Rhinolophus ferrumequinum: one gene and its partner. The main gene of each other region encodes a partner of the protein of the gene in region 2 in a complex. Links are inferred from orthologs where the notes say so. Each region holds a gene or a part of one and is shown on either strand. Other genes may lie near its edges.

What was found. Proteins that work in one complex are often made in the same cells at the same time.
Region 1: ARID1B (region 2) and PHF10 share a complex: the UniProt entries of both Homo sapiens proteins name them as parts of the neural progenitors-specific chromatin remodeling complex. The link is inferred for Rhinolophus ferrumequinum from reciprocal best matches to the Homo sapiens genes ARID1B and PHF10.

What each region holds. Positions count from the first base shown.
Region 1 is NW_022680354.1:2,533,889-2,544,144, reverse strand, and holds the start of PHF10 (PHD finger protein 10), read left to right. Parts: upstream 1-5,366; 5' UTR 5,367-5,410; coding exon 5,411-5,497; intron 5,498-6,227; exon of another isoform or gene 6,228-6,865; intron 6,866-7,808; coding exon 7,809-7,915; intron 7,916-9,612; coding exon 9,613-9,743; intron 9,744-10,256. UniProt on the Homo sapiens protein: Involved in transcription activity regulation by chromatin remodeling. Belongs to the neural progenitors-specific chromatin remodeling complex (npBAF complex) and is required for the proliferation of neural progenitors.
Region 2 is NC_046286.1:98,772,908-98,783,134, reverse strand, and holds the start of ARID1B (AT-rich interactive domain-containing protein 1B), read right to left. Parts: upstream 4,786-10,227; 5' UTR 4,726-4,785; coding exon 3,181-4,725; intron 1-3,180. UniProt on the Homo sapiens protein: Involved in transcriptional activation and repression of select genes by chromatin remodeling (alteration of DNA-nucleosome topology).

The sequences.
Region 1 (10,256 bases), on a different chromosome or scaffold from region 2:
ATATGCCCAGATGCACTGTGTTTCTTACCTCTCCACCGGCCTGCCTTTTCCCTGAGGACAGTCCCACTGAAAGCTGCTTTTTCTCTCAGGGCCAGGAGGTGGGTAAGGTGGCCCTTCTGACCTTAGAGCATCTAGCAGCTGGGAATTTAAATATCCGGATATACAGCCCTTCACCTCTGTGTATCACCCGGGCCTCTAGTCCCTTGGCTTGTTCCTTCTCATCACCTGGAGACTTGATTTACCAGATCACAAGCTTCATCTCTACTCGGCTCCTGCCATCATTCTTTGTGACTTCAACTTCCATGCAGATAATCACCAACAAGGCAGTCCCCGCTTCATGCGCTCTGATACGCACACATCTAGTTACCACAGTCCATTAGTAAAACACCAGTTCCCCAACACCATGCTTCGACTTTCAGTCACCACCGTGTATTACCTGTGAGTGATTTGGGAAGGTCCAAACTCCACAGCTAACTCTAGTCCACACATCCTTATGTAAATAACAGATGGCTTCATGATCCTTTTTCCAAGTCTGTCAGTCATTGGTCATGGCACATCTGTTACTCAGCTCAGTTCACAACACAGCAGAGCTTGTGGTTGTGTTGTCTCCTTGTCTCCCAGTGATGTGATGTTTACAGAAATGGGCCAATAAAAGGGATTGGCCAGAAAAGAAAAGTGCATCAAAGAAATAAGAAGTGACGATGCTGGAAATGAGTTGAATGTGATTAGGACATTTGAAAATGACAACAGCAAAGCCTAGATAGGATGACCGCTATGCCTGGCTGATGGTACTGTAGGAACCACAGGGAGAAAAGCCAGTGAGCAGAAAAAGCAAGGTCAAGTCGTGTCAACATTTTTTTAGTTTAAATTGCTCTCAGAACAGAAACCCATGTATGTAGAGAAAGACCTTCCTCTTTGGATAGAAAACTGGAATAAAATAAAATTCCCAGTCTGGCTAGCGAGCACACAGGAGCCAAGTGCTGTAGTTGCCATGTTGAAAAAAAACTCATTACAAAGGGACTGAAAAACCACCTTTTCCTGCCAGTAAAGCTGCTTCTGTCACTTTATAAGTCGACGTGAATTAATATTGAGCTACCTGGGAAGCTGCTAGCTCCAGTCAGGGTGCTGCTGTGACTTCAGATGAGTGAGAGCAAGCAGTTGTGGCGAAAGGATGAAGATGTCCAGAGGAAGAGAAACTGGTAACAACTTCACTTTAAAGAAACTCTTGGAGATACTTTACAGCATTGAAAATGCAAAACAAAATGTTGGAAACTACCCAAGCTCAGAAAAAAAAGTATGACAACGTATCAAGATATAGAAAATATAAGTCATAGGATGGGCAGAAGGCAAGCACACTTCAAACTACTCTTGGAAAACTGTTTACAAAGAAAATAATTCTCAGTGTTTCTCATGTTCTAAATTGCAGTGTGCTCAGTACATGTAAGTTTCACAATCAAAAACATTCCATATACATTTATAATTGGCAGTAAGGGAGTTTGATGTTTTAACAAAAGTTTTTTTAAAGTCATAGAACAATTGCAATTTTTCTCTTTGATTCTTAAAATTGCTTTGCATGATTGTGGGTTCTGTGGTCATTCTTATAGTCCTGTGGCATCCGGCAAAGCTGGGACTCTAGCTTCTCAGTTCCTTGACTAACTCACGCTCAGTGACCTTTTCCTGTAGCTCACCTGGGTTCACCCTGTAGACCTTGTGATTATCAAAGTCAATTTGACCTCTGAACTTGCAATTCCAAGCAGGTTATTCTCATGCAATTATTTCCTGTCCTTCCTGCTCACCACTTGTAGTACCTGAAGACAGCCACTCTTCAATCTTATTGAAATCTCCAATTCATTACCTTCCCCCACTATTACTAGTCCTCTTCTTGTCCTTGGTCATCTCAGCTGTCATGGCCCATCAGTATAATCACTGCCTTACAAACACACTCCAGGTCCCTTTGCCTCTTTTCTTCACCTGGGAAAACCCCTTCCTGAATGGACCCTATTACCCACTTGACTAGCTTGAATTCAAGTAGCTAAACTTGACTGAGAACATTGGAAAACTAGACTGACTGGTTGCACTTTTAACTCATGACCCCAAACCTCCAGAGGGCAAACCACTTGGCATCCTGGAAACTGCTCTTCTACTGTCTACACCTTCTTTCTCCTCCAACTCTCTGTATCCCTCCTTCCCACTCGCTTTCAGCTGATGATCTCACCTCATACTTTATTAAGGAAAGAGAAAGTATCAGAGGAAAATCCTTCAGGTTTTCCACCAGCAAATCTCTAACCCTACTTCCATCTGCAGCCGCATTATGTGTCCCTTCTGTGCCGAGGGATGGACCAGCCCGCTCCCAGCAGCCGTGTCCTCTCTCTCCTGTCGCCATGACTCGCCCTCTTACTGAGTCATTCTTGTCGGCATGGTGCCTCCCATCTTCAAAACATGACCCACCCCTCTACCCTTTTTCTCTGCCATTACTCTTTGCAATCATACTGCTTCCTATACTCTGGCTACAGTCCCTAGCCTCCTATTGCTTCCTTAATTGACTTCAATCTAGTTTTGAAACTGCCACTCCACTGAAATAACCTTGAAGGAATTAAGGTTGCTCCTTATCCCCAAATTGCTAAACACAGCGGGCATTTCTCTGTCCCCTAACTCAACTTCTCAATTGACATAGTTGACCAGTCCCTCTTTTTGAAACACTAGCCTCGCAGCTTACGGTACTCAACTCTTAGTTTTCTTCCTTCTCTATTTCCATGTATGTCTCTGGATTTCTTGGTCTCTGGCCTTTTTCTCACCTGTATCTACATATTCTAAGTGGTCTCATACAGTTTTTTGCCTTTTTCTCTTTACCACTGTATTGCTAGTGCCTAACTCAGGGCCTAACTCGATAAATAGTAAGGTAGTATTTGATAAACAAATGAGTGAACACATGATTCTTTGTATTTCTATCACCTAACATACGGTAGTTCTTAGTTCATAGTTGGTTTCCATTAACTATTTGTGAAATAATTGAGTGGACATTATTCCAATCCTACAGATGAGGAAACAAGAGGGTCAGAGCATAAATAATGTATCCGTGATCACACAGCTAATCAGTGGCACAGCTGCCATTCAAACTAAAGTCTTATTTTCAAATCTTTGTTCTCGTCATTACATCATATTGCCTCCCTGCATATTTATCTCTAACTCCTAGACTCTGCCTTCATTTACCCTATTCTCAAGCCAAATTCAATGACTGATGTACCTGAATATGGCATGTGTCCTATTTTCCCAGCTCTCAGTCTTTTGGGGCTTGAGACCCTACTTCCAGTTCCAATTGTACATTTTCCTGTAGCTGTCCAACCAATCTCTTAGGATACTTTTCAAATTCCAAGTCAACCCTGACATCTTAATTTTTCTAGTTGCAAGTAAATTTTCTCCCACTTAAAGCTCCTTTTGTGTATTTGTATCCTATTCTTCCAGCATTGAAATACCTACAGGCAGCGATTGTAATCCACATAGTGACTCCTTAATGTTCTGCCTTGCCTTGGTGGAAAGGCCAAATTCGTAATTGTTGATTTGGAATGAAGAGTTTTAAATTTTATTTGAGCTAGAGACAGAATTCCCAAGGGAGAAGAGTAGAACCGAAAAACAATATATATATATATACATTAAATTCTCCAGAGAGTCTGACTGAGAGCCTTCATCAATTAAGAGAATTTGGAGAAAGATGCTGATTCTTGGCCGATCAAGACACTGAAGGGTCATTTTCTGTAGTGGACTCTTGGTAGTGAAATGGGGAATTGAGAAAGCAAAGTCTAGATTAGGAGCAGTCTGTGAGACTGAAGTTGTTGTCGATGCCATTTGTGACCGGGTGCAAGTGGGGTCAGGAAAGGGTGGGCTCAGAGAGTCAAAGTAGGCTGTTTGTGCTATGTCATGGGCTAGAAGTAATCCCTTTGTTTTATGTTTCCAAACTTGTCCGCTGAGTGTAAGCAAAAATAATGAACGAAAAGGAAGCCATATTGAGCTCTAAATCCAAGAACATTCTCTATTGTCCCGAAACAAGTCTTGTACTTTCTAAGATAATAAAGTGTCTGCTGAGGGATCAACTTTAACAAATTTCTGGCACCCTTGTCATCTTATCACAGCTGTCTGCCATGTGTTGAGGTTCAGTTCCTGAGTTTTTAAAAAATTTTGGTGAAGTTGTAGACCTGACGGGGTGAAGCCTAAGAACTAGGATTAGGAGTAAACTCAGTTCCAATAAAACAGCTCCAATTTTCTTGGTGCCTTTCATGGGCCTATCATGTACTATGCATGCCCCTTACAATAATCCCGGAGACTCGGGTTTTTCTCCCCTTAACAGGTGGGAAAAGAGGTTAAATGAGTTGCCAAGGCTGGAATAAGCACCGGTGCCAGAAACCAAACATCAGTGTGGTTCCCAAACGTCCTGTGGCCTCTGCAGCAGTGTCCCCTGGCCGGTTGCCTTAGGAAGCTCCCTGCAGCCTCCTCGGAGCCACTGTCGGTCCTCGGTCCTCTACGGCAGGCCGTCCTGTTGTCTGTCATGCGAGCGCAGAGTCACACGCACGCAAGCTGAATTTCAGCAGCTTCTGCGGTTACTGGCTTCGGCCGCACTGAGGTGGACGTGATCAACTTTTCAAATGGAACCGGCTGCGGACGTCATTGGGTTGTGCACATGCACGGCAGGTGGTTCTGAGCAGCACAGCCAGGCTGAAGCGGAGGACAAAGGCAGGCGGGGCGGCCGCTGGGCAGGGGGCCGCGAGGCAGTGGGCAGGGACCTCTCAGCCCGCGGGACCCAGCGCACCGCGACCCGGCGTGGAGTGGGGGTCAGGACGCGGGACCCCGGGGGAGGGGGACGGGACCCCCGGGCACCGGGAGGGCGGGCGGGGCGGGGCGCGCGGCGGGCGCGGTGGGAGGAGAGGGCTGACGTGGAGGGGCCGGGCCGGGGGCGCGGGGAGGGCGGGGCCGGGCCGGGGGCGCGGCGGGAGGTGGGGCGGCGGAGCGCGGGGCTGCGGCGGGCGGGCGGGCGGGCCTGGGTGGCCGCGGCCCGGGGCGCGCGGGCTGAGGGAGCGGCGCGGCGGCGGCGGCTGCGGGCTGCGGGCTGCGGGAGCGGCGGGCCGAGGGCCGCGGGGCGGCTGAGGGCGGCGGGCGCGGGGGCCTCGGCCGGGGCCGAGGGCGGCCGGGCGGGCGGGCGGGCGGGCGGCGCGCGGCGCTGGCGGCGGCCATGGCGGTGGCGGCGGCGCTGGCGGGCCGCGGGGCGCGCGGCGGCAGGGGCCGGCCCCCGGGCGGCGGGCGGGCGGAGGGGGCGGGGCCCGGGCGGCGGGCGGCCCGCGCGGCGGCGGCGGCAGCGGCGGCGGCGGCCGGGACGAGGCGGCGGCGACGGCGGAGGCGGCGGCGCGGGGCGCTCGGGCTGATGGCGGCGGCGGCCGGCCCCGGGACGGCGCTGTCCCCGCGGCCGTGCGACAGCGACCCGGCCACCCCGGGAGCGCAGTCCCCGAAGGTGAGGAGGCGGCCGCTGGGCGAGCGAGCGGGCGGGCTGGACGCGGGGCCGGGGCGGGGGCCTGGGAGGCGCGGAGGCCGCAGCCTCGGACAGCGGCCGGGCCCCCGGTGCGCAGCCGGGACGGCCGCGGCCTGTTCCGCTTCCGCATCCTCCGCGCGTCGCGGCTCGTTTATAACCGCCGAGCGGCCGCCGGGCCGCGGCGGACACGGAAGTCAGGGAACTGGGCCGTCCGTGGGCCCGACACGCCGCGGGCCCCGAGCGCGCCCCGGGAGTTGTGAGGAGCGGCGGGGAAACGCGGCCCCTGGACACTCGGCGTCCTGGCGACTCCGCGGCGGCCCGAGAAGACGCCGTACTTGGCGGCGTCCGGACGTAACCGGACTTGGTGTCCCGGAGGCGACGCCGAGTGGACGAGACCACCAGGGGCCGCGGGACGCCGTGCGGTGCTGCGTGCTGGGACCAAGTTTGTAGTTTGTGACACAGGTTGGAACGGAGGCGTAATTTTAAGAACCTCAAGCCTTAAGTTGTTGAAAAGTTGAAATTAGATCCTGGGAGAGGACATTTGCGATGGATCCACCTCTTTCCTGAAGGACCGTGTCGCCGGGACCCGGGAAGGGTTTCGCTGGCGGGAGCGAGGCCGCCCTGCCCCGCGGCGCCCGCGCCCCGCGGTGGAGCGACGAGCCTGAGCCGCGCGCGGCGCGCAGCCTTGGAGCGGCTGGAGCCCGTCCCGGCTGCGGCGCTCGGGCCTGAAGCACCGGTGTGGAGAGACACTTAGGGGTGGACCACCTGTGACTCAGGGGCAAATGTCTGACCTAGTCAGGTGGCAGTCCTCAGACGTGGACTTTAGTGTCCCCATTTCTTAGCCAAGGGAAATGTACTTAAACACGTGGACATAAAAATTCTTCAAGTGCTCAGAAGCAAGCAAAATAGCAACACGTGATACCCGGATGCTTAAAAGGCATCATGCCTGAAGTATTGAATATGAAATGGTTCAATTGTGATACTTACTGTTAAATGTACATTTTTGGAGAATATTTAGACAGTTCTCCACATCCGAGCTGGCTGCTTGCCTTAGGAATATACAGAGCTCTTCCCACTGAATGCTTATTTTATAAGAATCAAAAAGGAGAAGGAAAATATTCTGCATCTTTTACTTTTTGGGATAGAATCAGAGTAAATTCCTTACAGCTGGGCCATTGGAGACTTCTAAATTGTCGTCGTCATCATCATCATCATCATCGTCGTATTAACTAACTTTTATTGGGCTCTTAATTTTTTTCTGGATCTTGCTTTTAAGTGCTTCCCATCTAGTAACTAATTTAATCCTTGTATTAGCCAAGCAACACAGGCACTATTCTCTCCATTTGACAGGTAAGGAGTGGCTCAAAGAGCATAACCGCTCAGCTAATGAAGGGCAGGGCCCAGACCCAGGCAGCCCAGCTTTGGCATGCCTGACCGACATGCCTTACTTACTACCTCTTTATCTTCTTCTGCAGGATGGCTTTGCTTTTAATACTTAGCAAGAGGACCCTGGTATTTAACGAAATTGTATTAATCTTAGTAAGCTACATTACTTTGATTTAAAACAATGTAAGCCTTCTAGTCATTAAGCCTTAGCTAATATGTAAATATATCAATTTCCTAACATTTGATACTTCACTCATTTCCTTAATGATCCAATTTACAGCCTTGATATTATAATCCCATAATGCATAATGTCACTTAAAAAATTTTAAGCCTCTCCTTTTTTGGGGGGGAGGGTTTTGCTTGATGACTATATAGATTGATGACTCTTATTAGGGTATATTATTGCTAAATGTTTACAATGTAAGAAAAAAATGGAACAAGACTGGTAATCTGTTTTTAGTCCTTGTATGTCTTTTCACAGGGATATAAGTACCTAAAATAGCCAATTAGTATAAACCAGGTGTGAGTCAAGTGAAACAGGAAATGATCCCTCCATATATTTTGTTCTTACCTGAGGTAAGAAGGTTTGCTCTAATTTTAGAGTTGCCGCAATTTTATGTTTGTTTAAACTAGAAGGCATTTTAACCTTAAGTGAGAAAGCAAAAGTAGATTTAGATTTATAGGTTAATTGAGTTTTTTACTTGTATGGAAGACCAGTTTTTAGTTTTTTCCAGGTCTTGCCCATGCCACATTCTGGGCTTCCTTTTAATTTTAATGGAAAGTTAGCATTTATATAACCAGCTGTGCTTAGAAAGTCTTCAAGTGCGCCTTTTAGCAAGTCTGAGAAGATACGTTCTTTACATATTAATCTTTCTCTTATTATTTTTTGAATCCTTTTAACGTATAGGATGATAACGAAGATAATTCAAATGATGGGACCCAACCATCCAAAAGGAGGCGAATGGGTTCAGGAGATAGCTCTAGGAGTTGTGAAACTTCAAGTCAAGATCTGGGGTACTGTCGTTTTATTGCTTAATAACATTTTTTGTGGTATGTTTCTCTTCTCTGCATTAGCTCTCCACTCCCCTCCCCCTAGCTCTAGTAAAAGCAGGTATCAAAAATTGTAGAATGTTTTTTCTCACATTTTACAGTATGACACCAAAGTTTGTTTTGCTTTCCATGCAATTGAGTGTTTTTTTTTTTTTAAGTTTTGCATAAAATTCACTATTTTAACTGTTTTTAAATGTGTAGTTCGGTGGCTTTAATTCATTCGTAATGTTGTGTATACCATCAGCACCATCCATTTCCAAAACTTTGTTGCTACTGAAAACAGAAACTCCACAACCATTAAGCACTAAAAATTCCCATTTCCCTCTTCCCTCAGCCCTGGCAATCACCACTTTACTGTTTGTCATTATGAATTTGCCTATTCTAGGTACCTTGTATAAGTGGAGTCATACAATATTTGTCATTTTGTGTCTGGCTTATTTCAGTTAGCATAATTCCTTCAAAGCTCATCCATGTTGTAGCATGTGTTAGAATTTTCTTCCTCTTTAAGGCTGAATTATACTCCATTGTATGGATGTACATTTGTTTATCCATTCGTCTGTTGATGGACACTTGGGTTGTTTCCACCTTTTGGATATTGTGAATCATGCTGCTGTGAATATTGGTGTATACATATCTGTTCAGAATCCCTGTTTTCTGTTCCTTTGGGTATACACCTAAGAGTGGAATAGCTGGATTATATGGTAATTTTATGTTTTCTACAGTCGCTGTGCCATTTTATATTCCTACCAGCATTGCACAAAGTTTCCAATTTCTTTCCATCCTTAGCAATTTGTTCTTTTCTGGTTTTTTTTTTTTTGTGTGTGTGTGTGTGTGATAGGAGTGAAGGGTCCAGTTTCATATTTTTGCGTTTGAATATCCAGTTTCCCAGCGCCATTTTTGAGAAAACTGTTCTTTTCGTTCGTTACTTTAAATTGGTTAGATATATGAAATAGTGTCACCTTCCTGCATCTATTACCCATTGATGAAATTTAGAGGTTGGATTGGTCCAGGTCCAGAAATTGGAGTCTTTGCTGTTCAGGATTGGGATTGATCTGGGATGCACTGGCACCATCAAACTGGGTCCATTCTTTGCTTCTGGGTTAATGGAGTCTGTCACAACACATAATTATGGTTTATAGTTTAATTCATTGGGAAATAGGTTTCTAGAGTTCTGCTTTCTCACCTTTGCGTGACTCACTGAACAGCAGATGGAGAACAAGTTACTTTAAACCCTGGTTGGATGAACTAGGGGCTATGGGTGTTACACCAAAAAGAAAGAATTCAGAACTGGTGTCACCACACTGTTTGGGCCTTAAAGGTCTGTTAAGCTAAAAAATGTCTGTTCCTAACAGTTGTGAGTGTTGGTTCTTTGTGGTATATAGAAAATGTTATTTCCATTGTACTTTTCTGTTTTGGCAGATGGTTTGTTTCTAGATGGTTTCCTTTCCTTCTACCTGTTTTGTAACTTCCTTTGATAACACATGAAATCGTGGGAAGTTTTTTGTATTGCAAAGTCATAGAAGACTGACTGAGAATTTAAGTAGTTAAAATAGTTTTTCAAAATCCTTAAATATCCTTAAAAATAAATATTCTCAAAAATAAAAATGATTAAAATTGAATAGAAGCTGCATAAAAGGCATAATATATATTTCTGTGCTTAGCTTTAGCTACTATCCAGCAGAAAATTTGATAGAGTACAAATGGCCACCTGATGAAACAGGAGAATACTATATGCTGCAAGAACAAGTCAGTGAATATCTGGGCGTGACCTCCTTTAAAAGGAAATATCCAGGTATTAAGTCTTAGTTTGTGTAACAGATTAAATCTAACTTTTAACTAATAGTTTTTCTTTTTCATAAGTTGTCAACCAATGAATATTTGAGTGTGGATTATTTATAATATATTTTACATTCTTCTGCCGCTTGATTTTCATTTACTCCTGTCATCCAACATCTCTCTTTACTATTAATTTGCTCTTTTGTCTTATAAATTGATTTGAAAAGAACATGAGGAAGATAGAGTTCCTGGGAGAAATTTTAGGAAAAAATCATTCTGTAGCTCTATGAACCAACAGTTTTGTTTGTTTACGATTTCTCCTTGACCTGAGGAATGGAGGTAGCTATTTAAGCCGTGTTTGAATTATACTTCATCAGCTATTTTAATATAATTAATTGTGTTAACTTCTAGCTTTGGATTATTCTCTTTTCAATTTTATTTTAAATTTATTTCTTGAATTTGAGAATTTTTGTGTAGCCTCTTCTAATTTTTTAATAATTAAAGAAAATTTTTAAAGGTTTTACAAATG
Region 2 (10,227 bases):
CAAATTTTAAGGTAATCAGGAATCAGTCTTTAACTTCCTGCTTTGTAAGCCAGCTAATCACTTTTCTTTTAATGGTAAATAAGGTTCATTTTTTATTATTGTATTATAGTCTCTAAAACTAAAGTTAAAATAGCATTAATGGAATTCAGCATAAATGTGGACATTATATAAAATCTTAGTTATATGAGTAGACTTCCGTATTCCTTTTGAAATCATTATATCTGAACACTTTATCTCAAAAAAATGCAAAACTGTATCATAAAATGGCTTATTTCACTTTTCAAAAAGACCCTCCCCTTACAATACATGCATATATTTTGTTCCTAATTACAAAAACATTGGCCACCCAATATAAACCATTTCCTAATATCAAAAATGAAACTAAATGTGTTAAAAGCCACAAAAAAATTTCATCATTTAACAACGTGATTTAATAGGTTTTATGACCTATAGTTATGAAGTAATTTAATATTTTGTACAAATGAGTGTTTCTTAGTACAATTACCATAACAAATACTAAATAATACTAACGTTCCAAAAAAAGAAGAAATATAAAGAATACACATTCCACATGTTACACGGTAAGGTACCTAAAAGAAATCTGTGAATCTAGGTCATATGCCTATCATTTTTCTTCCCCCGCAAAAATAAAAAAGCTATTCCCAAGGGTCACACTGAGGACATAATGGATTCACTCATTCCAAGAAAACAAAATACTTAAAATGATTGGTACCATTAAGAAATAATACTCCAAAGTAACATGGACCTACATCTGCGTCTGTCATCCTTTCATTTCTAGTTTACAAAGATGTGAATTCTAAACTGTCCCTTTAAAAGCAAGCTGACAAAGCAAATCGTTTTAAAATTAATTACATGGATTTATTTACATAAGGTTTCTGTATGTTTTTACTTGTGAGAATCAAAAATAAAAATTGAAATCGCAAGTTTTCTATCAATAATAGGAAAATATATATTATCATTAAAAGTAAAACTCCACTAACTAAAGATTTGAAAGCAGTGGACACAAACGTCCTCAGCCTGGGAGTCACATGATTATCTGTTAAATTCAGTCCTTCACTGACTCAGACAAGTCTTTCCTCTAAGATATGATTATTATTAAAATACACCTTCCTAAATAAATGAGCTGAGTAGAAAAATACATTACAAACAATGTTATTCCTTTCAAACAGATTAAAAATATAAAACCTTTCACAGCATGAAAATGTCTATGAAAAACAAATTATTTGGAAGAAACACACCCAACATAACTTAAATGTAATATAGTTTCCCTAATTCATTGTGTAAACAGTTCAAATAAGGCTCACATTAGCTAATCTAACAAAATAATCAAGGGAAAAAAAGGTTCTTGGGGCATTTCTGTATTCTCCAAATCAGAAGCAAATATAAAATGACTTTTAGTATTTCACAAGACTATCCATTTTTTCCTTTTAACTAATTGTTCTCTGCAAACATTATATAGTTTTCTCTTCATGTTTTTTAAATATAATGTCAATTCTAACTAAAACATCTCATCCATAAACAAAATGGTCAGAATTGTTAAAAACAAATGACTAGAAATACAGCTTTAATCTTGTTATAAAGCTAATTAAATTTCACTGAAAGGTATTGTTGTATATCAGAATCTTGAAATTTTTAATAGTATAACTTTTAAATTTATAATAAACTATGTCTGATGACATAATGCAAATTTTTTTATAGTTTAATCTATAAAGCCTATTTTTATAAAGCTTAACAAACCCCCAATTTGGTAAAAATCCTTTAATTATCTTCTAACTGCCATCTCCTCACTCTACAGTCAAGGGCTGTGACACATGCAATGTCCATGTTAGGATTACCAAAGATCTGAATTTTGTCAATGCCGAATACTGGACACCAGTGTAACGTTTTCATGTATTTAATTCTCTTACTAATAAATACGATTCACAATAATTTAAGCTTTAAATAACATTCAACCTTACATCTGCTTGTAATAGAGCTCAGTTATTATTTGTGGCAAGAATTTTGTGACTGTACTGCTCAGCACTATTTACATCAGCAGTGCTAAATGCCCAATGGTGAGAGGGGAGCCAATCAGATGGCAGATTAGATGTCAACTCAGAGGCAGCTGTCTGGAGACTATTACAGCCAGTTTACCTCCACAATTCAAATTCCAAACCTTGCAAAGGAGATCAAGTCAGTCTTTAGGCTCAGCCTACGAGCAAGAAGCGGCAAGAGTGCAGGACACTTCCTAATAACGCTGCGGGACTTGGGTGACAGCAAATTAAAGAAAATCCTTATAAATCCTATCCAAAATGATCAATTTTCACTGACCTGCTATTTTCCTGGACTTGCTGAATAAAATGTATGCCAAATCCATGATCAAAATAAGTTCAATGTAACCGGACTGTGTTCCTTTAACATAGCCTATCTGTTGAAGGTGACTCCTTCCAAGCAGCCCGTAAGCCAAATAATGGATTTCCTGGCTCTTCTTAGGAATGAATCGATATATTTTAGAATATTTCACCTCACATCGTTGTACATTTGGGTATTATTTTTGCTAGTAAATATTCCAACTCAAAGCCCGCATCGAATTATCTCTGAATGGCTGGGCATAACTCCGAAAACCACACTCGGTTACCACAAAGCTAACCTATTTTTCCTGCCTTCACCTTGGAAGCCGAAAGAGAACGTGGTGTGGCTGGAGGTAGGACAAAGTTCCTCGTTCTTTTCCCAGTTAATGCTTATTGTTGGCGCTAACCGAGAAGACGAGGTTAATATTCTTGCCCAGACCACAGTGGCCGGAGCGCCGGTCTGGTTACAAAAGCCGCCGGACCGTCCCCAGCGCCCACACGGCTGGCTGGCGGCGCAGTCCCCGACTCCGGCACGCGCGGCTCGGGCCTGGGGTGGGGTGGCGAGGCGGGGTGCTCGGCCGCCGGCAGTGCCAGCGCCCGGCCCGGCCCTCGGCCAGACCCCCTCGCCAGGCCCCCGGGCCGCGCACTCGAACACCGTGCGCTCCCCAGACTCTAAGGGAGGCGTCCACCACTTAAAATGGCTTTGGGCGCCTCACCCCCACCTCCCCCGACAGAAGACGCAGAAAAAGTACGCGGAAAGAAAGAAACTAGGGCTCGCGGCGCGCGCCGAGGCCGCGGCGGAAGCAGGCCCGGCCGGCGCGGGGGTTACCTGGGATCTGCCCATGGTGGGGCCAGGGGTGCCGGGACTCATCGCCGGGTGGCTCCTTTGTTGCGCGGCCGCCCAGGCCGGGCTGGCGGCGGCGTACTGGGCACCCATGTCCTTGCCCAAGCCCATGCCCGCGGCCGCCTGCTGGCCGCCCGCCGCCGCCCCCGCCGCCGCCGCCTGGGACTGGGGCTGCGACGGCGGCGGCGGCGGCGCGCTGGGGCTGCTGTAGTCGGGGTAGCTGCCGCCGTAGCTCCTCATCATGGGGCTGGGCGAGGTGAGCAGCTGGTTGAGGGTCGGGGTGGCCCCCGACGGGTGCTGGTTCTGCCCGGCGAAGCGCTGGAAGCCCCCCGCCGCCGCGCCGGCGGCCGCCTTGCTGAGGCTCGCGGCCCCGCCGCCCCCGGGGCCCATCATCATGCCGCCGCCCTGCTGCCGGGGGGAGCTCAGCACCCCGTACCCCGAGGACGAGCCCCCATAGCCGCCGCCGCCGCCGCCGCCGCCTCCTGCTGCTGCTGCTGCTGCCGCCGCCGCGGCCGCCGCCGCCACAGCTCCCGCTCCCGCTCCCGCTCCTCCTCCTCCTCCTCCTCCTCCTCCTCCTCCGCTGCCTCCTCCTCCTCCGCCGCCGCCGCCGCCGCCGCCCGCGCCGGGCCGGCTGTAGCCCGGATAATGGTTGTACTGGCTGTTGGGGTACCCTTCATGGGAGTTCTGCAGGGGGTCCATGCTGTTGGGGGCTCCGGCGGCGGCTGAGGCGGAGTGCATCATCCCCATCCCGGGGCTTTGTTGTCCGCCATGTTGATCAAAGCAAGGCCCAGCGCGGCCGCCGGGGCCGCCGCTAGCAGGGGCAGCGCTGCCATAGTAATTATTAAACTCCGAGACGGCTGCGGGGCCGCCGCCGCCGCCCCCGGGCACGGCCACCGGCGGCTGCTGCGCGCCCAGGGTGCCCAGGCCCGGGTGCTCGTACCGGCCGCACGCCGGCTCCCCCATCTTGGGCGGTGCGTCGTCCTCGTCGCCCGGCTTGCTCAGCAGAGGCTGGCCAGGGGGGTCAGCCTGGCCGCCCGCGGCACTGTCCTTGGCGCCTCCATGTTGCGGCTGCTCCATGTCGGGACCGGGCTGAGCCGCGCCGCCGCCCGCGTTGCCGAGGCTGCTGTTGTTGGAAATGGGATGTTGCTGCTGCTGCTGCTGCTGTTGCTGCTGCTGCTGCTGTTGCTGCTGCTGCTGCTGGAACTGGTTTAGCTGCTGCTGTAATGCGTGGTGGTGGTGGTGGAGGTGGTGGGCATGGTGGTGCTGGTGGTGGGCATGGTGGTGCTGGTGGTGCTGCTGGTGGGGCGGTGCGGAGGGGGCTTCGCCAACGGTTTTCAGTTTGTGGTTGGGGAGCAGCCCCGTCTCCATGGCCGAGCTCGGGCCCGACGAGGAGGAAGAGGAGGACGCCGCGGAGGAGGAGGAGGACAGCGCGGCGGCGCTTCCACCCTCCTTGAGAGCCGCCTCGGATCCGCCGCTCTTGGCGCTGTTAGTGCTGGCGGCAGCGGCCGCCGCGCTCGAGTTATGGGCCATGTTCAGTTCGTGACGGGGGTGCAGGGGGTGGTGGTGCACACTGTTCAGGCTGCCGCCGTCGCCGCCGCCGCCGCCGCCGCCCCCCAGCGTGGGTCCCGGTGCCGCCGCCGCCGCGCCGCGCGCCCCCGTCTCCAGGTCCCGGACCCCGGGCGCCGGCCGCGGCCCGGGGGGCGCCCGCCGCTCGCCGCTGCCCGCCCGCGCCCGCGCCGCCGCTGCCGCTGTTGCCCGCGCGGCCATGATCGCCGCGGCGTGGCGAGGCCGGGCGGGGGGCGGGGGGAGACAATAAAACCCACTTTTTAGTCCGCGGCCCCTCCTGTGCGCATCCACACGCCCCGACGGGGATCGAGTGAGCCCCCTCCCCCTCCACAGGCCCCGCCGGAGCCGAACCGGGAGTCACGCCTTACGGTCTGGGCCTGTTCCCGCTGTGTGATTTCATGGTGAAAGTTTTGAGTTCAGGTTTAAATGAAACTTTTCTCTTTTCCTCTCTAACCCGGATATGGGTAAATACACGACTGGTTGAGCCTATTGGGCCCAGCATGGCATGAGAGGGAGCCGAGCGAGCCCGAGCAACTATTATCCACTTCTCTCTGATTACTCGTGTGCACTCGCAAAACGTGGACTGGACTCGGTGGGCCGCCGCCGCCCGCCGGGCCCTGCGCCCGCCGCCCGCCCGCCTGGGCGCAGCCTCCCGGGCACCCGGCGGGCCCGGGCCCTAGGGCTTGGGCCCGCTCCGCAGGCGCCCGGAGCGCGGCGGCGTGGGGCGGATGAAGGCTGCACTTTCCCCCTCGTGCCTCCGTCTCCTTGCCAACCGGGCGTTCGCGTGTTTGTTTTCACGTCTAAAAGGAACGATACAAAGGTGGAAAACGAGTCTGACGAGCAGACAAAAGAGGGAGAAGGGCTGGGGAACAAAGTTGTCTGTTGGCCTCAAAGGTTACGTACGAGGAGCCGACGGAGAAAGAAAATATTTGGGCAATCGGTGCAAAAGGACTGTCTCTCCCAGGAGTTACGTAATTTTTCAGTGTTAGCCTCTGTGCCTTGATTTCGGGCCATCAGCATAATTCCCACTTCTTCAAACTGCAAAATTAGGAGAGTTTAAGTGATCCTTAGCCGAATCGGAGGAGCACTGTGCTCTGTACACAGCAAGTACTCAATAAATGCTTATGATTGACTGCACCTGCCCCAAAGATAATGTTGATATAACTATATTTTAAGCGTCCTTATATATGTATGTAGGCTTATCAGTGAAAACTCAAAGTATTCCCAAAGGAGCGTCTTTCTTACAATGCACTTGTCCTCTCTAAAAGGAAAGTATGAAGAGTTGTGTGTTATGCTCCAAACAACTTACACATGGAAATTTTAACGGTCATAAATAGCAACAGCTAAGGTTTATCCCATAACTTCATAAACCTATATGATGCTTTTCACCATATTTCAGAGGTTAATGTGCTCAATTAACCCTTTTGATATGAGTTCGTTTCTAGGCAATTGGAAACAAAACTAAAAGAAATACATGTTATGTTTAATAAACATAAGATCAAACATAATATAAATTGGTCATATCTAATCCTAGAGTAGAAATGTTTCATACTTTGTTCTTTAAAAAGTACTATCTATTGTTTTATCACTTTATGATGTCTTAAGTGTTTTTATTGTTAATTTATCACCTAGTAACACCTTGAATTGCTTCAATAGCAGGAATTCTTAACCTAAGCAATGGCTCAGTTGTACTAGTGTGGACTCAGTTTTCGTGGAGAGAAAGCATTTGAAACCAGAGCTTTGATGAGGTCTCCCTAGCTGAAATATATATGATTTTGGTAGAATGTAGTTTTCTAAAATGATTGCATTCTTCAGCTTTTCAAAAAGACCATTTTAGTTTATTTCAAGTGCAGTAGTTATTTTTGTTTGCTTGACCAAGTGTCAATATGTTATGTGACTAAATAGAAAAGGATAGATGGGAAAAACAGGTGACTAATGGGGGGAGGGAATCAAATGCACACCCAAGGGTCATTATATAGAGTATAGAAACAACAAATTGCAGTTCTATGCAAGCAGCTGGAAAACAGGGTTATATCATCCTGTGTAAGAGAATAACAGAACTGTAAGATGAATTCATGCCAAATCATTCATCAGTTTTTGCCAAGAGACTACTACATCTTTGTCAGTGGGCCTTTTTGACATTTTTCTTCTGATTTTCTCCCTTTATATATTCAAATACAGTACATACTAATTATATATACACATATATATGTGTATATATATGTATATATATAATACTACATAAGTTGAATTTTTAAGTTTTTCGTATGCAAATATAAATATATGTTTTGTGTATGTGTGTATATACATATATTCTAAAATGAATTACATATGTATGCATTTAGACATTTATAGTCAAACTAAATATATACATACAATCATAACAGTACATTTTTTCAAACCAATAAAATATATCCAAGTCAATTCATACAAGTGTAGCCATATTTCTGGCTTATTTTTAAAAACTAATTCTAAAAGGGAAAATGAGTCACCAAGTTCAGTTCTGGCCCATTTCTTAAAAATATTTCATATAGAAAAATGAAACCAAAAAAAGGTATATAAGTCAAAATCTCTTTTAATTCCATTTGCTTCAGCAAGTCATCTAGAAGATTGGAACCAAGAGGCTATGAAATAGAGGCCCCAGCACAATGAAATCAGTCTGCTATAAAAGGAGACACATGCCAGTTTGTCCTCCCCAATGGCAGATGCCACACCCTAAAGCAGACAGAAGGCACTGCAGTCTGTAAGAGAAGCACAACACAAAGCCGGCAGGACTTGGTTTTGTCTTTTAAACCACAGAGACTGCTAAAATACCTTTTAAAAAGCATCTTGCTGAAGATATTCAACCTATACTTTTCAAACACACCTCAGGAAAACAAAATCAAAGCCTCTTACAGTTTCATTTAAAAATCCAGGACTTAATAAACAAAACGGCAATTATTGGGGGCCTGTCAGAAAGTGATGAAATAGGTTCACATTTCACAAAAGCACAATTTGAACTATACATCATGATTTCTACTGTGTGGCTTGCTTCAATAATCATATATGGCAATTCAACATTTATATTTTAATTTAAAAAAAGGTAGTAAAAATCACCGCATTTATTTTTCGTAATGAATTCCTAATTTTTACACCTCTTGACTAAACTTCAAATCATGATGACAACTTTAATAAGTTTCTCCAGCCACAAGAAGCCGCAGAGGTGAAGGGCCGGAAGCTGCCGAGTGACGGTGCCTACAGCGGACCTCCCACCCACAGGTTGCCCCATGCCCTCGTGTGCAGCCAGAGGATTATCCGTTGTTTTGCTAAACATTACTTTTGGCTACAAAAAGGGTTTGGGGTTTGTTTGGCTTTTTTTAATTATATGAAAAATTAATATTCAAATACTGCTGCTTTTTGAAAAGTTTTAGGGCGCTGAATAAAGGACTGTTGGACTTGCCCACTTCAAGAGGATTGAGCCAGATGATAGTTTAAGAATGCCACAGTTCTGTTCTTTTTGCCTCATCAGAGCCCATCACACTGTTTGTTTTCAGATTAGTCCCCTTTTACTGTTCTGGTTATTTATTCGATAACTGAAACTATCACGATTCACTACCCATCATATTTCTCAGTATGCTTTACATAATTTGGAAGCAATTTAGAATAAAGCCCTGTCAAGGTTTTACAAATAAGAACTATTAAAGAATAAGGCTTTGGATACTTGCTTTCCTTTTAGATTTATGAGAAATGCGATGAATGGAGCTAATGGGATTTCCCTACTGATCTTGGTCAGGCACTTTAAAAAGCACTAAACAATTGTCCTTTTCACTTCTCTGATTTACTTTAGCAGTGAATAACTGAGTTAGTGCAAGATACGGGATATACATTTGATTTGAAACAACTATGCATATTAACAGTGGCCCATAACTTTGGGATGCAAAACAACTAGGATTTGAAAAAGATCTAGGCAACAGTAATTTAAAAAACTGGGGACTGATGATCAGTAGCACTATTGTACTTAGAAAGAATATAATAGTGGGGATAATAAAACTGATTGGGGAAAAACTACACTTACTCACAAAAAAAATTATCTAGAATCTATGACATGCCCTGAGAATAAAAAAGGTAAGTACTACCTTGATCCTGTTCTCAATAGGGGAGATAACCAATTACCCTAAAACATAATAAAGGCTGCCCTGAAACATCATGGAGGACGTGGCCAGTCAAGAAGCAGGCTCGGACTTCCCACCCAACAGCTTTCCCTGTGGCTGTGTCTTGTTGGCTGCCATCAGTGGACACCTCGCCGTAATCTTCAACCTCAGATGGCTCTAACATGCCCCTGGGAACCCACCATTGTTGGAGCTAGACTTCCAGAACCTTAGGTCAAAGTTAACATTAGACTGTTACAATTTCTCTCCAAAATCCCTAGAAAGATAGCAACGCCAGTGAAATAAATGAAGAAACACCTTACTACATTTTAGAACATTGTACTTTTTATCTTCTACCAGACTGTCCACATTTTGAATAATGTGTAATAAATATTTTTATTATAGCCTAGTTGAGAAATGTTCTGTAACTTAGACAAATGTGTGTTCAATGGCATTTCTTTCATTTTCTTCCCAGTATTGTCCTCATTCATTTTGCCTTCATGAGAATCACTTATTGAGTACCTATTAGTGTATTTCAATATTCTCTCCTATATCATGTCATATAATCACCTGTTCAGCTTCTGTCACTGATAACCCGCTGCTTGGAAAAAGGCACCTTATAGATAACTCCACTCTAGTTCCTCAGAAATATTAAACTTGGAAAGTAAACATATTTGAGGTCATGTATAATAATACAAAGGGAAGTCATTTGGACGACTAGTCACCTCAATTTTCTGGAAGCATTTCAGTGACTTATCTGAGGGCGTTCCGGGTTTTTTCATATGTGATTAATTGCTCCATAGTACATGTAAACTTCTAAAATAAAATTACTTTTCAAGCACAATAAATTGCAAACAACAATAACTCGTGTGTCGATGTATTCATTCATGGTTTTTATTTCACCTAGTTTATATTCAATTGCTTTATCCCTAATTCATTAAGAGAATCCATGGGCACCTTTACCAGTAAATTATTGACAGCTGTTGATTATTCTAGTAAGGAGCAAAGGACTTGGTTATATGCTTGGTTAAATATCAATTTCATTGAGGAATTTGCTTATCAATTCCTCTAAAAATGCCCAAGTTGTTAAACATAAATAATTTTTTTCTCTCCCGAACTTAAAGGAAATTTCCACATTGTGACATGTAACTATAGGACTTAAAATTTAGTGGGCTGTAGCTGCATCTCTGACCCTCAGATGTCTCCTCTAAAGCCGTACTTCTCTCTGTGGTGCTGGTGACCTGCTTTCTCATGGATCATGTGTGAAAGGCTTCCCTCCCAAAGCATGACCCACAAGGAGCAGCCGGGAAGGTGGCCTCCCCATTCATCCATTCTGTCC